6 linked regions of the Xenopus tropicalis genome follow. The protein of the gene in region 6 interacts with the protein of the main gene of each other region in a biochemical or structural test. Links are inferred from orthologs where the notes say so. Each region holds a gene or a part of one and is shown on either strand. Other genes may lie near its edges. The genes, in order: cdc34, ccna2, cdkn1a, akt1, ccne1 and skp2.

What was found.
Region 1: the proteins of skp2 (region 6) and cdc34 form a complex in vitro, tested with the Homo sapiens proteins (3 studies listed by BioGRID, with this or other methods). The link is inferred for Xenopus tropicalis from reciprocal best matches to the Homo sapiens genes SKP2 and CDC34.
Region 2: the proteins of skp2 (region 6) and ccna2 are reported together in a solved structure, tested with the Homo sapiens proteins (2 studies listed by BioGRID, with this or other methods). The link is inferred for Xenopus tropicalis from reciprocal best matches to the Homo sapiens genes SKP2 and CCNA2.
Region 3: of the proteins of skp2 (region 6) and cdkn1a, one has a biochemical effect on the other in vitro, tested with the Homo sapiens proteins (3 studies listed by BioGRID). The link is inferred for Xenopus tropicalis from reciprocal best matches to the Homo sapiens genes SKP2 and CDKN1A.
Region 4: of the proteins of skp2 (region 6) and akt1, one has a biochemical effect on the other in vitro, tested with the Homo sapiens proteins (4 studies listed by BioGRID, with this or other methods). The link is inferred for Xenopus tropicalis from reciprocal best matches to the Homo sapiens genes SKP2 and AKT1.
Region 5: the proteins of skp2 (region 6) and ccne1 form a complex in vitro, tested with the Homo sapiens proteins (2 studies listed by BioGRID, with this or other methods). The link is inferred for Xenopus tropicalis from reciprocal best matches to the Homo sapiens genes SKP2 and CCNE1.

The regions. Positions count from the first base shown.
Region 1 is NC_030677.2:105,629,684-105,633,652, forward strand, and holds the start of cdc34 (ubiquitin-conjugating enzyme E2 R1), read left to right. Parts: upstream 1-1,169; 5' UTR 1,170-1,326; coding exon 1,327-1,509; intron 1,510-3,902; coding exon 3,903-3,969. UniProt on the Homo sapiens protein: E2 ubiquitin-conjugating enzyme that accepts ubiquitin from an E1 ubiquitin-activating protein, and catalyzes its covalent attachment to other proteins by an E3 ubiquitin-protein ligase complex. In vitro catalyzes 'Lys-48'-linked polyubiquitination.
Region 2 is NC_030677.2:66,833,913-66,838,142, forward strand, and holds the start of ccna2 (cyclin-A2), read left to right. Parts: upstream 1-1,430; 5' UTR 1,431-1,513; coding exon 1,514-1,672; intron 1,673-3,455; coding exon 3,456-3,705; intron 3,706-3,842; coding exon 3,843-3,949; intron 3,950-4,230. UniProt on the Homo sapiens protein: Cyclin which controls both the G1/S and the G2/M transition phases of the cell cycle. Functions through the formation of specific serine/threonine protein kinase holoenzyme complexes with the cyclin-dependent protein kinases CDK1 or CDK2.
Region 3 is NC_030678.2:54,653,604-54,657,103, reverse strand, and holds part of cdkn1a (cyclin-dependent kinase inhibitor 1), read left to right. Parts: intron 1-1,597; coding exon 1,598-1,966; intron 1,967-2,616; coding exon 2,617-2,669; 3' UTR 2,670-3,500. UniProt on the Homo sapiens protein: Plays an important role in controlling cell cycle progression and DNA damage-induced G2 arrest. Involved in p53/TP53 mediated inhibition of cellular proliferation in response to DNA damage.
Region 4 is NC_030684.2:99,690,021-99,693,520, reverse strand, and holds part of akt1 (RAC-alpha serine/threonine-protein kinase), read left to right. Parts: intron 1-231; coding exon 232-382; intron 383-686; coding exon 687-818; intron 819-1,188; coding exon 1,189-1,254; intron 1,255-2,178; coding exon 2,179-2,247; intron 2,248-3,500. UniProt on the Homo sapiens protein: AKT1 is one of 3 closely related serine/threonine-protein kinases (AKT1, AKT2 and AKT3) called the AKT kinase, and which regulate many processes including metabolism, proliferation, cell survival, growth and angiogenesis.
Region 5 is NC_030680.2:71,329,770-71,333,254, reverse strand, and holds part of ccne1 (G1/S-specific cyclin-E1), read left to right. Parts: intron 1-4; coding exon 5-140; intron 141-1,647; coding exon 1,648-1,794; intron 1,795-1,876; coding exon 1,877-1,972; intron 1,973-3,485. UniProt on the Homo sapiens protein: Essential for the control of the cell cycle at the G1/S (start) transition.
Region 6 is NC_030677.2:198,011,720-198,015,219, reverse strand, and holds part of skp2 (S-phase kinase-associated protein 2), read right to left. Parts: intron 3,068-3,500; coding exon 2,940-3,067; intron 1,871-2,939; coding exon 1,819-1,870; intron 1,244-1,818; coding exon 1,136-1,243; intron 924-1,135; coding exon 710-923; 3' UTR 1-709. UniProt on the Homo sapiens protein: Substrate recognition component of a SCF (SKP1-CUL1-F-box protein) E3 ubiquitin-protein ligase complex which mediates the ubiquitination and subsequent proteasomal degradation of target proteins involved in cell cycle progression, signal transduction and transcription.

The sequences.
Region 1 (3,969 bases), about 92 Mb from region 6:
GTCCAGTATATAAAAACTTCCCAACTTCTTGCCATATTAATTTTTAAGGGTTTAGATCTCCTTTAACAAGGAATGTAACTTTAAAGCAAGCACACCCTGTGACTGTTGGGAGCCTGCTGAATAATAAGTAGTTTCATTATATGTATATGAAAGATATTATTTCTAATTTCAAGGTGTGCCAAAATGATTTTTCAGGGCCTAGTAACTTCTACTTATGCTACTGTTTACAACACCGTACATGGAGTAGGAAGCAACTAGTCTTTAACTAGTAGTAGTGAAGTGGCATTTTACAAAGTGTAGCACCGGCCTGATGGAAAGTGTTGGGGGCACCCAATAAATTGCCACCCACTGAATCTAAGTTTCCCTGTCCTTTAAAGTGCACCTATGACCCTTTAACTGCTTCTCCCACCAGAGGTGCAGGCTAATAGACGCAGCACTTTGGTTGAGGGAAAACGATAGTTTGGTTTTTAAAAAATACAGCAACTGCCATTTCTAGGCTGCCCGCACCTGAATGAAGCTCCCAGTACAGGCAACCATGTTGTTTGCCATGCGTGGGCATAATAAATGCGCCTTTCCACTTGCAGATGATGCGCATGCGCCTGATCTAGGCGTGGTGGATGCAATTCACCCTCCATCACAAGCATGCACATAATAAGCAACTTGTGGCACTCACTCATTATGCACATTGTGAGAAATGAGGCAATATGGCTGCCCACACCTGGAGCACTCTTCTGCTGCAGGCAGCCTAGCAATGGTAGGAGCTTTTTTTTTTTTCACAAAAAGCTATTGTTTCCCTAACCTCTGATGAGGGAAACAATTTGAGGGTGATAGGTGCCCTTTAAGGTGAGCTGTATTAGAAGGTTATATTCTAGGAGATTAAAGGATATATTCACTGTTCATTCAGAAACTTTGTGTCAAGTTGAAGTTTTCTACTGCACTACTAAATAAAAGCTCTGTAAATCACGTTTCCCCACTAGAAACCAACATCTAGCTTTGTTCCCATCAGCCTCAGCAAGACCCCTCCTTCCTCCGCTCAGATTACACTTCCCTCGCACCAGTGCGTCACAGTGTTCGTGGGCTTGTGGGATTTGTAGGCTGCTCCTCCCACAACGCCGTGGCTTCACTTGCAGTTTCCGGCACCCGTTACTCTTCCAGCCAGCAAGTTAATTCGCAAAGCGGCTCCGTTGTGCCGTAACATGTCGTAATAAAGCCTTTAGTCGTCTAGCAGCCCCTTCTTGCTAAAACACCAAAAGCCTACTGATCCCATCCTGCCCTACGCGGAGGACGCTGTGGGCTCCTGGTTAGAAAGCGGGGAGCGGAACTACCATGGCCCGGCCGGTGGCGCCGGTGCCCAGCTCTCAGAAGGCCTTGATGCTGGAACTCAAGGGGCTACAGGAAGAGCCGGTGGAGGGGTTCCGGGTCACCCTGGTAGATGAGGGGGATCTGTACAACTGGGAGGTGGCAATCTTTGGCCCCCCAAACACCCTCTATGAGGGGGGGTACTTCAAGGTGAGGGTTAGGTGTGTGTGAAATGGTGGAGTTCGTGATCATAGGGGCCTTGGGGAGGGAAAGCCACGCTGGGGGGTATTTAAAGAGGCAGTAAGTAATAGAGGCGTGGGTGGGTATTGCGTACATCGCTGGGCCTTTCTGCACAACAAGCTTTCCTTTGTTTATGTGACTCCTACAGCCATAGCCGTAACTTGCCCGAAACTAATGTTTCACATGAAACTCAACCAGCCCTCAAAGCTACCCCAAAACTAAAACTTACTGAAAGAGTGTGGCACTACTAAATCTTTAATCCTGTTTTCTGCGAGTTGTAGTCCAACAACAGCTGCTAGGCCCCAGCCACAGGATGCACGGTGTTAGAAAGCAATAAAGGCCTTTGTGTAACAGGAAAACGCTCTAAACTCTTCATCTAACTTCTGATTTGGCACTTTGTGTTTGTGGAGATACCCTGGGTTTATATGTATTCATCCTGTGCCTATTTCATAAAGATTTTCAGAAGATTAATCAAACATAGGCGTTCCACTCTTTTACATTTTAGTATGCCATACTAGCTACATGTATGAAGCCTCATTCTTTTAAGGATTAAAGGGGTCTCTATACTTAGTTTTGGGCAGTTTTGTTAAGATGTGCCTTCTATAGTGTGTGTGTATATATATATATATATATATATATATATATATATATATATATATATAATATTAGTTTCAAGGGACTACTTATTCCTAGACATTTGCACAGATCAAGAAATTTAATAGGGGTTTATAATGAGATGTTAAATGGCTAGAACAATGTAATTGTGTTTTACAGGGGTGGTTCACCTTTAAGTTAACTTTTAGTATCTTATATAAAGACCTATTCTAATCAACTTTTCGAATATTCTTCATTATTTGTTTTTCATAGTTTCTTAATTTATTTGCCTCCTTGTCCTAACTCTTTGCAGCTTTCAAATGGGGTCACTGACCCCTGAGCCAAAAAAAAATCATACTAAAAAGTTAAGTCAAAGGTGCACAACCCCTTTAAAGGGGTTGTCCACCTTTTACTTAATTTTTAGTATGATGTAGAGCGTAATATTCTGAAACAATTTGCAACTGGTTTTCATTTTTTATTTGTAGTTTTTTTTAATTATTTCAGTTTTTGGTTGTCTCCAGCTTGGAGTTTCAGCAGCTATTTGGTTGCTTGGATCCAAATTACCTAAGCCACCATGGTGTGATTTGAATAAAAGACTGATATATAAATACGAGAGGGCCTGAATAGAAACATAAGTAATGTACAATAACAGTTAAACTATAGCTTCGCAGAACAATAGTTCTTTGGCTTGGGGGTCAGTGACCCCCCTTTGAAAGCTGCAAAGAGTAAATAATTCAAAAACTATGAAAAACATAATGACTAATTGAAAAGTTGCTTAGAATTGGCCTTTCTATAACATACTAAAAGTTAACTCAAAGGTGAACCACCACTTTCAATATATGTATAATATACATATTATTAGGGATACACTGAATCCAGGATTTGTTTCGGCGTTTGGCCAAGATTCTGCCTTTTTCAACAGGATTCGGATTCAGACGAATCCATGTGCCTGGTTGAACCAAATCTGAATCCTTAAAATCACTATTTCTTTATGTAAACCCAGAAGTTGAACATTTTTATTCCTTTTATAGGTTAGTTTTCAAATGCAAATTAGAGTTTGGTTCGGTATTAGGCCAAATCTTTTACAAAGGTTTGAATCATAAAACTCTGGAATTGGTGCATCTCATTATCCAGCCTCCCTGGAACTGAAAACAGACCTTATTTTTTATTTACTTATCATTAATCTGATGACAGCTGAGCTTGCTTACCCATCATGCAGTTCTATAAGTATGAGATCTATTATTCTGAAAGCTTTTGGACATAATTCAAATCTTTTATTGGGGCCTCTTGCATGATAGCCACATTCAGAGTGCCAATGCACCCTCATTCAATAGGATTTTCAAACTTGCCGTATTGAAAATTGATCAGCTATTGGTCAGACGGGCCCTATACACGAGCCAATAAGCTGTTAATTTGGCCTGGAGGCACTGACCTAGCAGCTTTTATTGGCCCGTTTATGGCCTGCTGAAGCATTTAAAAATAAAAACCAAGATGATCTTTTAGCCAGAAACATGGATTTATGTTAGCTTAGTTATCATAAAGCACAAGATACTGTTTTATTGTTACTACAGAAAGAGAGCAAACAAGTAAAAAATTAATAAATTACACTTTTTTTTTTAATAGACTGAAATTTGGTTGATCTACTCTTAGATATGTTGCTTGAGAACCATTATTTTGTGCTAATCGGAGCTACGGTGTGTTATAACAAAGGCATGGATCTCAACCATACTCACTTGCTTGTTAACCATTACATGTTCTTTTTGTCCTAGGCCCGCTTAAAATTTCCAGTTGATTACCCCTACTCTCCTCCTGCGTTTCGTTTTTTGACAAAGATGT
Region 2 (4,230 bases), about 130 Mb from region 6:
AAACTGTAGCATCGCCGGGCCCCCTTTGAAAGTAAAAATTGCGGCCCTGCCTACGGCACACCAGTCAACATCTCGCAGCACACTAGTGTGCCGCGGAACAGCGGTTGAAAAACGCTGCGAGTCTAATCAAAGCAGGCACAGTCACACGTGGCATATGGTCTGCTTCACTCCTCTGTTTGGTAAGCAGGTCGAGAGTGGATTTGCTCCTGTACCCATGCATTTTTGGGTTGATCACTCCTCTGTGTAGCTGCACTGAGGCTAATGCAGTGCCTGTAAGTGGAGCTACACAAAGGATAAGGCTGGTGCCACACGGGGCTTGCGTAAAAACGCAGACCGAGAATCAGCCCCTCCGCTGGCATCAGACACCTACCTTATCTGCACCCTGAAGCTTTGTTGTGCCCAGGTGCAGGCAGACGTGGTGGATACCAGCAAACAAATGTGAAAGTTTGCATTTCACAGCCAATATTCGCCACGTCTGCCTGCTCCCTTGTGGCAGTAGCCTATAGAAGCAGATCCGCTTCTCTCTGACAAAACGCGTGAAAGGAAGCAGACCATACACTACATGCGACTGTGCCCTTAGGGGAGGGATGTACTACAACAAAAATACATTATCCACACTAAAAGGTTAGAAAAATAAATGTGTCGCATAAAGTTACCAGTAGGCAATGTTCCCTCTAATTTCTTCATGGCTGTGTGCACAAAAAACTTTTTTGTGCATGCACTTTTTAAAACCATGTGAGCTTTAAAGTACCAAATTATGTGATTTCACACAATTATCTTTATGCGCACAAAAATTTATTATGGGATCTCAAAATGAGTGTGCTTAGAGTGACCATTGGGAGTAGGTACCATCAGCCCTTGGCTAAAGTTCCCATGTGGCCTCAAGGCTGAAAACTGCTCCTGTATGGCTACCTTGCCTGTGCTAACTGCTTGTTTCAATTTACTGCACTGCAACAAAACTGCCCACATTAGGGCACATATAACGACTTCCACAGAGGCTTCAAAACTTGCAATATATCAGAAATTATTAGCTAGATATAAAAATTATATGTCTAAAACAAACAAAAAAATATGTTGGCACAGGTGCTTTAACACTAATTAAGAAAAAAATACAAGACTTGCTGAAATGATGTCACTAAGAAGAGTAGATCGCGTTCTTTTCTCGCGTTCTCTTCCCGGCTTCCGTACAATCAGTGACGTCTCCCCGCGCTGCCCTGTGATTGGCTGATTTCAATAGTCGCGGGCTACTTGAATTGAGAAGACTGCAGCTGCTGTAGTTGAAGGGATTTCTAGAGAGGCGCTTTGAGAAGCGGCGGGAGTGGGACGGTTTAGCATAGTTTACCGGCATATAAGCGGGAAGGGGCATTAAGCTGAGCTGCTGTAGGCACACGGTCACCAACCCTTTTTTACTTACACCCCTCAAGGGAGGACAGGGGACGTGCAAACGTGCACTCTCCTACCGGCGCCAGTCCTTCCCCCGCTTTCTTCCTCCCTCTGGATCGGTATCCGCGGTATGGCCGACCATCTGCTGCGTGATGAGAATCAGGAGAATGTTCAACCCCGAAAACCCCTTGCCCCCGTGGGCGGGCGCACCGTGCTGGGGGTGCTGCAGGAAAACCACAGAGGCCGACAGACCCTAAAAGCGAGCAAGCCGGCCCTCCAGCAGGCTCAGGTATGAGTATGGGGCCCAGGGCTACCAGGCACAATGGCTAATATACCCGGGAAGCGTGGACGTGTATTTAAAAGGCTGCCTGTCCTGTAGATCCGGTCCCGCCAATTCCCTAGATCGTAACTGATCCCAGAGTCCCTTCCGCGCTTGTGTAAGTCTCTCGGTGGCCTGGCTCTTCTCCTGTGTATCTTCTACAGTTCCCAACATCTTCCAGGGTCTGGGGTTTGTAGTTCAGCTGCCTATCCCTGTTCGCTCCCCATTGCCTTCCTGTCTGAGGGCTGAGTACTATAGGATCGTGGCCTGACCTGTTTAGGCCGCCATTTCGCTGCAGTGTATAAGGACCGTGACCTGAAGGTCGGAGCCCGACTCATGCGTCCGGGAGATAATGTCAGGCCAATGATTGCTATTATGCACTTAGTGCCGTGTCTGATCCACTGGTGGGCATGTGCCCTGGCAGAAATGTCAGCCATTCCTTGGTTTCATGCTGTTTGTCACCATGGGCCCATTAAATTCTTGTCTTTCCTTCATTTCCCAAATCATGTTACCAGGCATATTTGCCCCACAAGCTTTCATGGTATTGCATGTATAGGCTTTCAGAAATTTATCCTGATTTTTATCGGTCTGTTGCTCATGTCTTTTACATTAGGGGGGACCTTGGGAGATTATAACCTAGTAATGTCACCCACCCTTTGCATTGTACTTATTGTCTGGTGACTGAGGCTTGAGCCTATTATGTGCCTTGCCCATGTGGTCACTTTGTCCCATTTAATGGCAATATATGCCGTGCCCTACTGATCTTTAGTCTGTGATGCACATTGCCACTGACTCTTTGTTTTAGGGCTGAGTTGCAGCATGGTGCAGATCCTCAGACCTTCCACTGGACTTGCTAAGCAGGCACATGCAGGTTACTTGAGATTTATTATTAGATTAAGTCTCTAATGCAGTAAAAGCAGTAGTAGCTGAGAAAAAGTAGCTTCTATTGCCTCGGTGTGTCTTGATACTTAGGATGAAGACACACGGAGCTACTTGGTAGCACGGCTACTGAATGTCGTAAAATACCCTGCCACAGACAAAATTGAGAATTGCGACTAATCTCTCCGTTATGCCATCCCACCGGCTAGAATGTAAATTGCTGGTGGGATGGCATACGCATCGCTGCAATGTCTTGAGAGGGAACTTTGAGACTTTGCAACAACACGTATGCCATCCCATCGGCGATTTACATTCTAGCTGGTGGGATGGCTCCCCATGTGCCACTGCCCTAAATGATCAGCGTGGTCTGTTTTAATTGCCATGACAAGTAGCTGCTCCTCCTAGTAGCTCAGTGTCTTCACCCTAAAACACACGTACAGATAATATCCGTAAATGATCTGCATTGTCTTTTAGTAGCTGTATGTATCTTCACCCTTAGGTTTGTGGGTGACTGTCAAGTCAGTGTACTTGAAATGCCAGGGTGTACTTTCAGTTGAAGTCAAAGTATGGTGCCAGGTGCTCTTGACTTGGGACAATAACACCCCATGTTGCGCTCTTGGGCAGCAAAATTACTAACTTTCCTTTGAATAACATTATAAATGCTGAATCACTGATACTTAATTTGCATTACGGCGCAAAATTGCTCATTGCTGCATCTTTTAGGAATAACATAAGGGCACCCTGGGGGGTGTAGCAATTATAATACTTTTCAAGGTAGTGGTACAGCAGGCTAATGCTTTCAGAACATTAATTTTCTTCACTCATTCTTAAGGTATTATATTGTAAAATATCACTTGTTTGACTTTCATTTTAGGCTTTGTCTGTAAATCACTTGGGCGTAAATGATGAGAATTATGGCAAGGTACCGGCTGGAAAAGCAGCCAGCAAACAGCCTACTTTTACAATCCATGTGGATGAGCCAGACTGTACAAATAACAGAAGAAAGCCTGTTCATAAAAAGACCGTTCAAGATGAAAATCTACGACAACTCAATTCAGTTCTGGGTTCCATTGGAACAAGAAAACCATTGGAACCTATCCACATAGCAATGGAAACTAGCTTTGGTATGTTGGTTTTGCTCATTGTGTTCTCAGCTGCTGTTGCCAACTGGGATTGGGTTTTGTCACTTGCTAAATACCCTACTGCCCCCCCCCCACACAGCTACAGCACATGCTAAAGCATGTATGTTCTGACTCTCCAGGTTCTCCTATGGATGTGTCGCTTGTGGATGAAGAACAAAAAGTAGTCGGTTGTAGTAATGTTCCTGATTATGCTAAAGAGATTCACACATACCTGCGAGAAATGGAGGTAAATTTATATCTTAGTAAAATCTGTCAAGTGAAACATTCTTCCCTAGTATAAGGCTAAACACATGCACTGATGTTCTCCATTTCTTAGTGTAACAAAGCTCCAGCTTGCTTAGGGAAGTTATTTGCAAGCAAATGTTAAAAATACATACCGTTTAGATCGCAGTTAGTGCTACCTAACAACCTAGATGTTTGTATAAAGCCATAAGGCTGCTTTCCATTGACAGCAGCTGTAAGTAGTTTGCACTGCAAATGCATGTACTACATTAGTCATCTGCCTTA
Region 3 (3,500 bases), on a different chromosome or scaffold from region 6:
ATCCGTCTTATATCTTAAATGAATTGCTCTCTATAGTAATATATAGGGCCAAATTCCAATCAACAAGAATATATGGACGAGATTAAATTTGAGGCTAGAAACATTGGGCCCGATTCACTAAAGTCCGAAATAAGGAGTGCTATATATAGCATGCGTTAAAAATCTTATCACTTCTTATTTTTCGCTCGATTCACTAAAAGGACACTTGTCATAATTAAGAAGCGATGTTCTTGGCGTTATTTATCTTGCGACGACATATTTTCAAGCAATATATTACGCAGCGCACAACATATTACGCAGCGTGCGATATTTTACGCAGAGCGCAATATATTACCCACGTAACCATTACTTTCTGAAGACTACCGTTCTGAAAATTTTGCGCTCTGCGTAAAATATAGCGTGCTGCGTAATATGTTGTGCGCTGCGTAATATATTGCTTGAAAATATGTTGTCGCAAGATAAATAACGCCAAGAACATCGCTTCTTAATTATGACAAGTGTCCTTTTAGTGAATCGAGCGAAAAATAAGAAGTGATAAGATTTTTAACGCATGCTATAAATAGCACTCCTTATTTCGGACTTTAGTGAATCGGGCCCATTTTCTCCTAATTCAGTTTTCATGTAATAAACAGTGCAATACATTTTTCTTATTGAATTGCATCTGAAATTGATTTAGGAGATAAGCTTTTCTCATAAATGTGAATCTGACCCATCATTCTTTATGCATCAGGGAAAAATCTCTGTTCCACAAGAAATAATAAATAACTTACAATTTTTCCATTTATGTGTGTTGTTGTCATTATCAGACCTGCTCCTGAAGCCTTTATTCAATATGGCGTTTATCAAGTAGGGCTATTCAGTAACACTATTCTTTCATTAATGCTATATAATAGTGTACAGTGTTCACAGTTCTCAGTTATTTGGCTAATGAGTACCTTAATTACAAATAAGGCTAAATGTAAATGATGGAAAACTTGTATAATTTTGCCTCTACAATGCAAAAGTATTTACCTCTTATCGGTGTTGTGGCTGCCACTAAGCACACGTGATGCAAGAATACCAATGCAAAACTTGTACCTCTTACCATAGGGATTCAAGTTGCAGTTGCATCATTATGGGCATCACACTGACAGGGCATGTTGTTTATCTTACACTCCTTCTGACTTCAAATGCCCAGAATAGGGTGTGGCCATGTATTTTATGACTGAATAATGATAATGCGTAGAACTAGGACACCAATGGCCCACCAGAGAACATGATATAGCGGGCCCACCATTCAGAGCCCTTAAACATTTTCTTCATTTTCTTCTGGTATCCCCATGTTTGAGAGGTTTATTGTTAAAATGTAACTGATTAAAAGCCAAGAATATTGCAGCACAGCAACCAATGTGGCAGCTTCCAATACGATAGATTTAGGAATAATTCTATGTGGTTTCTGTGCACTTGTGTGTGTTTTATTAGTTGCATTATTGCTGCACAAGCTGGCTAAGCGCTAAGAGCAATACAGTATATACAGACAGACTGATTGATGTTGACTGAAGGGAACAATATTTACTGTATTTTTAATGTTGCAACAATTGTTTTTCTGCCCTTTCAGAGAAAATGCAGTCAGCCATAGCCATCCTCAAGCAAGCATCTGGAAATAAGGAAAAGGCTTGTCGAATGCTTTTTGAAGCTGTGGACCATGAACAGCTAAAAACTGAATTTCATGAACTTATGCAGAGATCCAACGAGGAAGCAAAAGCTAAATGGAACTTTGACTTTGTCACTGAAACTCCTCTTGAAGGGCAATATGATTGGGAGAAGGTAGAAGACAAAACCTTGAATTGCAATTCGCAGGAAAGTGAAAAAGAAAACCAGTGCCAAGATGTAGCCGCAGAGATGTGTAACATTAACCAATCCCATAAAGCTTCCCAGAATTGTGAAAGCAGCGATTCAGGCAAAAGGAAACAAAAGCTGATCACAGGTAATTGTAACAGTTCCACATAGCAGTTAGAATATAAATATTATCAGAGAGTATGCTCTGTAGCAGTGATCTCAAACCAGTAGCTCACAAGCATGTTAACCAACCCCTTTTATATTGCTCCCAGTGGTCTCAAACAGGTGCTCATTTTTGAATTTCTAACTTAGAAGAGAGACTTCTGACTTTTTCCATCTTCCAGTTTAAAACACTATTGGGGTTATATGATAAAAGACCCATAGCAACCAATTAGCAGGTAGAATTAACTGGTTACCTATTTAAAAGAAAACATATTGGTTGCTTGGGGTAACTGCTACTGGGCAAACTTAGCACATTTTATTACACATGGCGGCATGTGTACTGCCAAACAGAGCCTGTAGCTTGCCAGTCCACATTGGGCTACCAAATAACCTACCACATCCCTACTTTTTTATATTTAAATGCTGCTCACAGGTAAAAAAAGGTTAGGGGCCCCTGCTTTATAGGATATACACTCATTGCATCATTAGTGCTGCTCCAATGTATATGCTGCATTCTTTCATTAACTGGTTTTTGCATGACTTGACATCAAGTATTGCAAGTATTCTTAGCACCCATTATTATACTTAGCAACCATTATTAATATTTAATCTCTGCTTCTGTTTTTGCCTTAACAGATTTTTATCCTGTCAAGCGGAGATGTTCACCTAAACCCAGCCCCCGCGATTGATCACTATGCTGTTTGTGAGGTCCTTTCTTTGGACCTGAACAAATTTTCATTTCTCAGTTTAAGGTGTCAGAACGCTGGATTTTCATGCTCTTATACAAAACCTGGACTTTAATGGACATTACATAGACTCCAGAGAACTTCAAAATCCTCACAGATTGTACCTCACTATTACTTTAATAATTTAAACAACCGGAAGAAGAGATAAGCATTAGCTTTAGTGGTGTATGTTTGCTGAGTTTCTAGTTGTTGCAAAATACTTTTTTTGTAATTCTAAATAGTAAAACACTGCGGTTTTATAGATATATGTATATAAATGATACTAAGTTAATGAAAATGGCTAATATTTAGAAGTTTGCAACAGATTTTGACAAGATTCAGAGCAATATTCAGTAATGCACTAAAATGTTAGTCCATGTGTGCAGGCCACTTTGCTTTAGCACTCAGCATCATACCTTGGGGCTTTTTAAAGGGGACCATACACTGGATAATACTCTTCAGTATCCTACCAATCAGCCCTCTGGCTGAATTGGCGGCTACCATATGAGTGGCCATTTACATGTATGGCTGCCATACTAGTGTTCCATTTGTTTAATTAAACAATTGAAATAGCAGGAAGTGAAGAGGAGCTACAAATTTTCTTTACTCCTTCATCTATTGATGCATATTGCATCAGCAGATGAACAGATCAATATGTCAGAATAATATATCTGGGCATGTAAAGCCAGCTTAACTGTGCTAACACTGATATCTTTAAAATACTACCACCTGGAGGGTGGGTGGACATCATTTTCACGTCCAGTTGTTAAATGTTTTTCTTGCACTTACAGAGTT
Region 4 (3,500 bases), on a different chromosome or scaffold from region 6:
TCAAAGTATGAGTTCTCCTTCCTTGAACATCACATCAGACTCACTGGCTTATTTACCAACATGGGGAAGTGACCTATGCCAACTATTCAGTATTTTACTTTAATTATTCTACCTGCAGCTGTCAAGGTAAAGGTAAACAACGGTGTTACTGTCCATATGTTGGTCAATAAGCCCCACTCTACTCACACTTCTCCAGCAATGCATGTGTATTTTTTCATTGTTTCATTGAAGGGAAGAATGGATTCAGGTTATACAACATGTAGCCGACAACCTTAAGAAACAGGAAGAAGAAATGATGGAGGTTCGGTCTGGCGACTCCCCAAGCGATAACTCTGGAGCCGAGGAAATGGAAGTTTCTCATTCGAAACCAAAACATAAAGTAGTAAGTGTCATTTTAATGTAAAATGTACAGGTTTGTAAGTAAGGGCTTTTTTATTAAATGGCACTATATTTATCAACAATGGAGCCAGACAAGTTATCCTAGTAACTCCGCTGTCTTTCAGTGGCCCCACCAAGCACAGAATTCCCTATCCAAATGTGACTAATATTGTATGCAAGGATGTCATACAGCTATAAAACTGATGGTTATATTATGTTATTAGATCAGTAAATTGGCCTTGCTTTATCTGAATTGGTACCATTTAACAGAGTGTTGAATTACAAATACATTTATTTAATCTCAACAGACAATGAATGAATTTGAGTATCTCAAGCTTTTGGGGAAAGGAACATTTGGGAAAGTTATTTTAGTCAAAGAGAAAGCAACAGGAAGATATTACGCTATGAAAATTTTAAAAAAAGAAGTTATTGTTGCAAAGGTAAGTGACCCGGAATTTCTCCAGGAATTCCCTCTCTCTCCCCGGAATGGTTATAGCATTCACTTTCTTGTATCAGCTCTTATTCTCATTCCTCGAGACAGTGCTTGTCTTTGATCTTTCATTCATTTATTTATTTATTTTTAAATAAAAAAAAATGTTTGAGGTATGCAGTGTCCATGGCAAATTCAGTAGCAGGACACCACTAAATTGAAGCAACATGGATATATTATTTTATGAAGATAAAACACACTTGTTATATAAGAGTGGCTGCTTGCCTAATGAATTGATAAATTCCAGTCCACCAGTCAGCAGCTTGGTGAAATCTGCTCTAGAATGAGTATTCTGTACCTTAAATGTTTCTTTTTTTCAGGATGAAGTAGCTCACACGCTAACAGAAAACCGCGTCCTGCAGAATTCTAGGCATCCCTTCCTAACAGTAAGTTTTAAATAGAAACATTGTGTTTTTTGCATTAATAATAAAGTTACCATGGAAAATGTATGTAAATATCTTGTAAGTTGGTTTCATAAGATACCACCATAATTATGGGTGTGTTTTATGGCTATTTGATAGCCCTGGATAAGAACTAGAACCATTGTATTTAATTGAGCTCATTTGTTAACTACTATATAGCCTATAGCCCAATTTCAACTTGAATGGTTGCCCCCATAGCTACACAGCAGCTTTTAAAGGAGAAGGAAAGACTAAGTCACTGGGGGGTGCCAAAATGTAAGCCACCCCCAGAGACTTTAATTGCTTACCTTTTACCCTGGGCTAGTGCTCCTGTGAGAAGAAGGAGTGTTTCCTTCCTTCTTCTGTCTTTGCGCCGGCCCCAGGATTCAGAAGAAAGAAGTAAGAGGAAACACTTGCTGCAGCTTCCCTGGGCTTATGTGGCTTCTCCTAATAGGAGCACCAGCCCGGGGTAAAAGGTAAGCGATTAAAGTTAAAAGGTAAGCAAGTAAGATTTTTACCTTTCGACTGCAGCCACAACAACTGCAGTCCTTGTAGACATAAAAATGAATGCTGTTTACTAATAATTTGTTTTTCTGGCCTATGGAGAAACCAGTATGGAAGCTGTAACAGATTATCCATAATTTTTAAAACAGCATCCTACATTTAACTTGCTGCTATTGCTGTGGCAATATAGTAAATATGTATTATATTTTAATGTTTTCAGTCCGTTCCTCTGAATTTATTGTTCCTTTAATGGCTGACCCTGAGGCTTTCCCCTCTGTGATATCTCATGGGTATGATGGGTGTTGGGCTTGCGTAGTGCAGCTTTTGCAGGGTCAGTTTGTTTAATTTGGCACCAATTTATAAAGTTCAGAAGACGGTTGGTTACTCAACTTTAATTTCTTGTAGGCACTGAAATATTCCTTTCAGACACATGATCGCTTATGTTTTGTCATGGAGTATGCCAATGGAGGAGAGGTTAGTACTGAGTAAATCTATCTTTCTATTGCCATTTCTATTATTTCCTACTCTGCACTGAAGTTGGTGCATTGGGGGAATCGTCTGATATGTGCTGATACTGGGCCATTTTTCATATGAGGCAAAAGAAGGTCAGTTTTGGTGCACAAAGCCGCCAAGGGGTTTTGTACTGGGAAGTGCAGCAGATCAGCTCAGAGCTGCAGTTATCGCCAGAAACCATAATGGCGAACATTTTTGGGTAATGTTTACTCAAGCAGGGCTATGCTTCATATTGATGTTGATGGTAAGTGACTCACAGAGGGGAGCGGGTATTTTCATTACATCAGCATGAAGTTCACCCCCTATGTGCCATAGATTTGACAGTAATATAAATGTGTTATTATATTATTATTATATTGTATATTATTAACCACCATCCTGCCGGTGCTATAAAACAGAAAGCCAATCAATAATCATGTTGTACATGTATTTAATCCACTGCTATAAAACTGCAGTGCTGTCTTTTTCTCCCCCTCCTTTATTTCTTCATATTTTTATGGTACAGACTAAGAAACTGCCCCTTCACCCCTATCTGCGCTATGGTTTGTCTGCAACTAGAGACACTGCACCCAGATCAGCTCTGTGTGTCTGTACCCAGGCGAGGCAGTGTCTCTGGGTGCAGACACCCCATAGATCAGATCGGAGAGGAGGGATAGTTTATCGGCCTGTGCTTATACACAGGCCAAGAAACTGCTCCGTGTTGCCCTGAACCGACTGCACCTATTCCAGTCGTTATAATTCGATCGTTTGGCCCCAGTAAATCACCAGTGGAAAGGCATATGCGTTGCATAGGTTTACTGAAATTGGCCAAAGTTTCCTTGTGAGGGAATGTTGGCAACTTAAAGGAACAGTAACACCAAAAAAATAAAGTGTATACAAGTAATAGCAATATAATGTACTGTTGCCCTCCATTGCTACAACTGGTGTGTTTGCCTCAGAAAGACTACTATAGTTTATATAAGTAAGCTGCTGTGTAGCCATGGGGGCAGCCATTCAAAGGAGAAAAGGCACAGGTTACTTAGCAGATAACAGATAAACCCCCATTATATGGGGCTTATCTACTAGTTATCTGCTATGTAAACTGTGCCTTTTTTCCAGCTTGAATGGCTGCCCCCATGGCTACACAGCAGCTTATTTATATAGTAGCTTTTCTGTAGCAAAAACACCAGTTTTTTGCAGAGCAACAGCACATTATATTTTAATTACTTTAAAAC
Region 5 (3,485 bases), on a different chromosome or scaffold from region 6:
GCAGATGGGCGAATCAAGATGATGTCTGGAGAAACATGTTGAACAAAGACCGAACTTACCTGAGGGACAAGAATTTTTTTCAAAAACACCCTCAGTTGCAACCTAATATGAGGGCTATTCTCCTTGATTGGCTTATGGAAGTGAGTACTGTTTTTTCCTTTTTCCCTTTTTTTAACTAGCCTTCAAAACTCTACCTTACTTGAAAAAGTCACCTTCAATAGTTTAAGCAAGACCATTGATTTAAATGGCGCTGCTTATTGGAGTAGAGTGCAAAGGTCCTGCAGTGACAATGTGATAAGACCTTGTAAGGTGGTGAGAATTTCTGAATATTCCTCTTCCTCTAATCATGAAAGCTGGAGTGGAGATCTTGATTGATTCCAGAATGATCTGCTTGGGATTGTATTTTAGATTAGTCTAGTTGATATAATACACCAAAGATTATGTAATATGGGGTACAACACTTGCTACACCTAATCACCTATAGCAGTCAATCAGTAGGTAGCATCAACTGGTCACCTGTTTAAAAGCAAACCTCTTGTTTGCTATGGGTTACTGCTCCATGGCAAACTTTGCCAGTTAAAAAATATGCACAGTTATACACAATCACTGCACATACGCAAAACCCAGCCAAAGAATACCAACCAAACAGTTCTTTCACAGCAGTACTGTTTAGCTGGTATTCTTGGATAAGAGGGTTTAGCATATGTACAGTGATTGTGTATAACTGTGCATTTCAAAATTTTAAATCCATTCCTAAATAACTGGAGCTTGCTGGCAAGACTAAAAATTGAGTGAAATAAAATGAAGGGCGGCTTCAAAGTCACAGCAGGATGAATGACCCAAACAATACCCTACAGCAGGGGTCCCCAACATTTCTTACTCATGAGCCACAGTCAAATGTAAAAAGACTTGGAGAGCAACACAAGCATCATAAAAGTTGCCAAATAAGGGCTAAGATTGGCTATTGGGTAGCCTCTATGCACACTATCAGCCTACAGGAGGCTTTATTTGGTAGTAAATCTTTTTTTTTTTTTTTTTTTTTTTTTTTTTTTTATTCAACCAAAACTTGCCACCAAATCAGGAATTCAAAAATAACTACCTGGTTTGGGGGTACTGAGAGGCACTGATGACTGCCCCTACAGCTTGAACTGGTAAATTTTGAGATGGTCTCTGCAGGTGGAGGTTTTCCTTCAAGGAAAAGATGTCATAGGTTATCTTTTTGCCACGGCATTACTTTCTTTGAAAAAAACACACCCTGGAGAGCTGGCAAGGGAAGAGGTACTAGATACACCAGTAGTCTTTTTGGAAGCACTTCCTTAACTTAATAGTGCCATTTTTTTTTCTGGTAGTGCTACCTCTAGAGGCATATGGCCACATCATACAGTACCAAAATTAGACACAAATGAGGTAAAAGCACTTAATACTGTGAAGTGTTCAATTAGGAATTGTCTGGCTGAAATATTAATCTTCAGTGTAAAGTTTTGCAGTCATTTCTGAATAAGCCTTATAATGTAAATTTATACTCCCACAAGCACTTGCAGGACTTGCACATTTTTTTTATTTCATATACTCTGGCATTTTTAAATTTAAAAGCAAGTGCAGCTGTTTTGCATATATAAAATATTAATTGTATTCTCCCCCCCTCAGGTTTGTGAAGTGTACAAACTTCACAGAGAAACATTTTACCTAGGACAAGATTTCTTTGATCGGTTTATGGCAACTCAAAAAAATGTAATTAAAAGTAGACTGCAACTTATTGGAATCACATCTTTGTTCATTGCTGCTAAGCTGGAGGTTGGTAAAGTTTTTTACTTTCTTTTTGGGTAGAGCTATAATGGTCAACTTACCATAAAGTGAGTTCTTTACTTTATTGCAGGAAATATACCCTCCAAAGCTGCATCAGTTTGCATTTATCACAGATGGCGCCTGTACAGAAGATGAGATTACAAGTATGGAGCTGATAATAATGAAGGTAAAGCCTTATGGGTTTTAGGAATAATACATTGCTCAAAAAAAATAAAGGGAACACAAAAAGAAGACATCCTAGATCTGAATGAATGAAATATTTTTATTAAATACTTCACTCTTTACATAGTTGAATGTGCTGACAATAAAATCGCACATATATTATCAATGGAAATCAAATTTATCAACCCATGGAGGTCTGGATTTGGAGTCACACTCAAAAGTGGAAAAAAAACACTATAGGCTGATTCAACTGTGATGTAATATCCTTAAAACAAGTCAAAATGAGGCTCAGTAGTGTGTGTGGCCACGTGCCTGTATGACCTCCCTACAATGCCTCGGCATGCACCCACACAAATGACTCGGGTAGTGCAGCTCATCCAGGATGGCACATCAATGCGAGCTGTGGCAAGAAGGTTTGCTGTGTTTGTCAACGTAGTGTCCAGAGCATGGAGGCGCTACCAGGAGACAGGCCAGTACATCAGGAGACGTGGAGGAGGCCGTAGGAGGGCAACAACCCAGCAGCAGGACCGCTACCTCCGACTTTGTGCAAGGAGGAACAGGAGGAGCACTGCCAGAGCCCTGCAAAATTACCTCCAGCGGGTCACAAATGTACATGCTTAAATGGTCAGAAACCGACTTCATGTGGGTGGTATGAGGACCCGACTTCCACAGGTGGGGGTTGGGCTTACAGCCTTAACACCGTGCAGGACCTTTAGCATTTGCTATAGAACACCAAGATTGGCAAATGCGCCACTGGGGCCCTGTGCTCTTCACAGATGAAAGCAGGTTCACACTGAGCACATGTGATAGATGTGACAGAGTCTGGAGATGCCGTGGAGAATGTTCTGCTGCCTGCAACATCATCAGCATGACCGGTTTGGCAGTGAGTCAGTAATGATGTGGGGTGGCATTTCTTTGGGGGGCTGCACAGCCCTCCATGTGCTTGCCAGAGGTAGCCTGACTGCCATTAGGTACCGAGATGAGATCCTTAGACCCCTTGTGAGACCATAAGCTGGTGCGGTTGGCCCTGGGTTCCTCCTAATGCAAGACAAGAAACTAGACTGGAAGACTAGACCTCATGTGGCTGGAGTTTGTCAGCAGTTCCTGCAAGACGAGGCATTGATGCTATGGACTGGCCCGCCCGTTCCCCAGACCTGAATCCAATTAAGCACATCTGGGACATCATGTTTCGCTCCATCCACCAACGCCACTTTGCACCACAGACTGTCCGGGAGTTGGCGGATGCTTTAGTCCAGGTCTGGGAGGAGATCCCTCAGGAGACCATCCGCCACCTCACCAGGAGCATGCCCAGGCATTGGAGGGAGGTTATATAGGCACGTGGAGGCCACACACACTACTGAGCCTCATTTTGACTTGTTTTAAAGACATTACATCAAAGTTGAATCAGTAGTCTGTAGTGTTTTTTTCCACTTTAATTTTGAGTGTGACTCCAAATACCTCCATGGGTTGATAAATTTGATTTCCATTGATCATTTTTGTGTGATTTTGTTGTCAGC
Region 6 (3,500 bases):
AAAGTTGCTAGGAACTGGACATTCTATAACATACTAAAAGTTAATTTAAAGGTAAAGCACCCATTTAATGTGTGTTGTACCTAGCAGTGATACCAAGTGAGCACAAATGGCAAACCCAAATCCCCACCACCGGTGCTGGTCCCACTGCTGTATTCCGCTTGCTGCAGATTGGTGGGAAAGTCATTTGATGCAAGAATAAAGGTGCCCCCATGTAGAACAGGCCAGCTAGAGGAATTCTGGGAGTTTAACAACTGATCGTTATAGAACAACATAAATATACACATTAACTGTGTTGCACAGAAGTTCTAGTCCAGTGAACGGTATTATTTAGGACTCGCTGTTGTGGAACTACGACTCCCATTATCCCGTCACATAACCACATCAGTACCATATCAATGGCAGTCAGTAATGGCAGCTTATTGGTTTATATTGACCATCTTCCTATCCTTCATCCCGTAACAAATCAGAATCCTGTAGGAATGTATAAGGAGCCGGCTGTGGCTTTAGAGGAGCCAGGTGTATTCTACACTGATTCAAACCAGTGGGAGGCAACATGCAGCTTGTTCTCCCCCAGGTTCCTTTTCTCACCTTCAGTACAAAATACCCAAAAGACAAAAAAAAAAAAAAAATCGAATAAAAAAAGTGATGGGTATTAAAAAAAAAAGTTCAAGTTTCTTGGTTTTGTCCTAGTGCAGAGATCCCCCCCCCATCACAAGTAGTCTTTATAGTTCAACGTGAGCTTGCATTTCATGCCCCACATTTCCCGGCTCTTTCGGATCCCTGTAGTGGGCCGGCCGATGGTACTGAAGTAGGAGCAGTTTATCTTTATGTGTGGGAGGGATTCCTTCAGGATCTGCATGGAGCCTTCTGACACGATGCCAAATACACTGAGGCTCTTTAGAGGGATCTTCTTTCCAAGCTCCCTGGGGCAAAACATAACCAAGAGTAAATCTGGAGTATTAGGACATAAAATGGGTTATGGGGATTCAGAGAGACAATCTAAAAAACAATGGATTGAGATGGAGAAATGAAACTGCAGAGGGCATCACCAATACCAGTAATACAGTAGCACACACTACAATGGAGTAATGCTTTAGTAGGGGACTAAAGAGAAGAGGGAATAGAGAGTACTTACAGCAGAGCAGCCGGGCAGATCTGGTAACAGCGACTCAGCCCAAGGTGCTGGAGATGGAGAAGCTGCTGCAAAACTGCAAAGCAGTCGGCGGTCAGCATCACGCTGTCACTGTATGAAGGAGAAAATATAATTAGATCCAGTTCTTAGGTACAGGCTTTGTGCTCATCTCTCACTATATTATCTGTTCATGTAACCCACACACCTCTCGGACCAGAATGGCTTAAATGGGACCTTATTCATCATGGCAGTCTGAACAGATATGTACAGAGGTAATTATATAGAAGCACGGACATTGCTCCACTGTAGTCTTAAAACATGCAGGATCTGGGCAAATTAGACCTTGTTTGCCATATGTCACAAAATGTATTTATCTTTTTAACAGTAGCATGTCACTATGCCTATTTAAACCCTAGAGCCACTAGAGCTAGGCACAGTGACATGTTCCTGGTAAAACCTGTAATGTTTCACTATCCCTTTAATGCATAAGAGTGCAATGTATTAGTGCACAGCACAGCTCTCCATGTTTGTTCACAAGTGATAGCTTCCTATATTGATATCCAAAATGATAACTGTGACAAAAATACATTTCAACTGCCACTAGGGCTGCAGACTGGTACATTTAAGTATAAGCTTGGTGGGTTCAGAGATAGAAGATATATATTTGTTGTAAAACAGCACATTACCTTAAATCCAAGTCTGTCAAGTCAGGACATTGGGCCACGAGCGTCTTCACATCTAGAAGTAAAGGAGATATACGTTATGTGCTGTGTGTACTGACGTGGGGGTGCGGCTACAAAATGCACAATTACAGATGCACAAAGAGTTAACACCTGGTGCAACATGTGAATGGGACCAGTAGCACTCCCCAAGGCATTTAAGGGCAACTAATAACCAGAAATTAAAATCTCCAGTGAGATTAAATCTTGTCGCTGCTGCACAAGGGCCAATGCCAAATATCTTACAAAGCTGCTCCTTCATTTTGTGGAAATGGGGCCGGCCAAAGAATGAGTAGCTACAGTATCATGTGGCTGATGTACTTGTGAGTAAGAACAGCAGCCCTATAGCCAAACCTACTGGTGCAGACTACAAATTATTTTGTAAGGAAGGAAAATTCCTTGGAGGACTGCAAGCAGCAGTGAGACTTCAGCTGGACCTCCCTATAGGGTAGCGCGGCCCTTACTCTCTTGCCCTTACTCTCTTGCTGGGAGCAATATGGCACTGATAGAGCCAAAGTCAGCCTGTCTGAGGGCGGCCCATAAGACTCAGAACAAATAGCATAGGGTCACACAGAGCACGTGGCAGTTTACAGGGGTTAATGAGCCAGTCTGATTAAGAACATATTTGCCACCTTATTGTGGCAGTCGTGTAGGAGGGCAACCTACACCCCCCAACAACAATTTATATCAGAGAACCTACTGGGAGCCAAAATTAGATGTTTAAAAAAGGGAAAGCATAAAAATGTTTGCGGAAGAATTGTAGCGTTGTGACAGTTACAGAAGACAAATGGCATAAGCAAAAATCCCCCTGTAGGCAATGATGAACCATGCAGGTCGGCTCTCACTCTGGGCTAAAGATGATAATGAACTTTAAAAATGGCCCCTTTATTCTCCCAAGGATCCACTATTGTTCCTGTCCATGTTGTAGCTAAGGGGTGGGTGTGTCCTAACAGCCCCTGCCAGTAGCACAGTCGGAGGGGCCAATCACAGGAACCTTATATAGTGTGGGGCTATCATGTCAGTGCCTAGTTCTGCCTGCTGTTCTTACATTACACCTGCGCATAAAGATACCAATACGTAGTGCGTACCAGAGAGTTCCAGGTTCTGCCGGTAGCCACTGAAATTTAACTGCGTTAGGCTGCTGGGCAGGTGACTGACGGCGCTCTTTACGTGCTCTGCCTCAAAGTCGCACCACGACAGGTTCAGTTCATCCAACCTGCAACACAGACAACACAACTGAGAAGCTTACCCACAGGTAAATAACATGTCCCCCACATCCCAGGCCAGCAGATCGCCATGTCATACACATGCTTAGAACATACAGCTTATACAGATGATGTCATATCCTAGAGGTGGGGCTATAACACACACTTTGATTCAGAGGTACTGCCTTGCGGAAGCCAAGGGTTAAACGAAAACTATACCCCCCCCGCCCCCCAAACAATGTAGGTCTCTATAAAAATATATTGCATAAACAGCTCATATGTAAAACCTGCTTCATCTAAATAAACCACTTTCATAAAAATAGACTTTTTTAGTAGTATGTGCTATTGGGTAATCCTAAATAGAAAACTGCCATTTTAAGTACTAAGGGCCACCCCCTGGCATCATAGGATTCACAGCGCACACAAACAAGCCAAGGCACACAT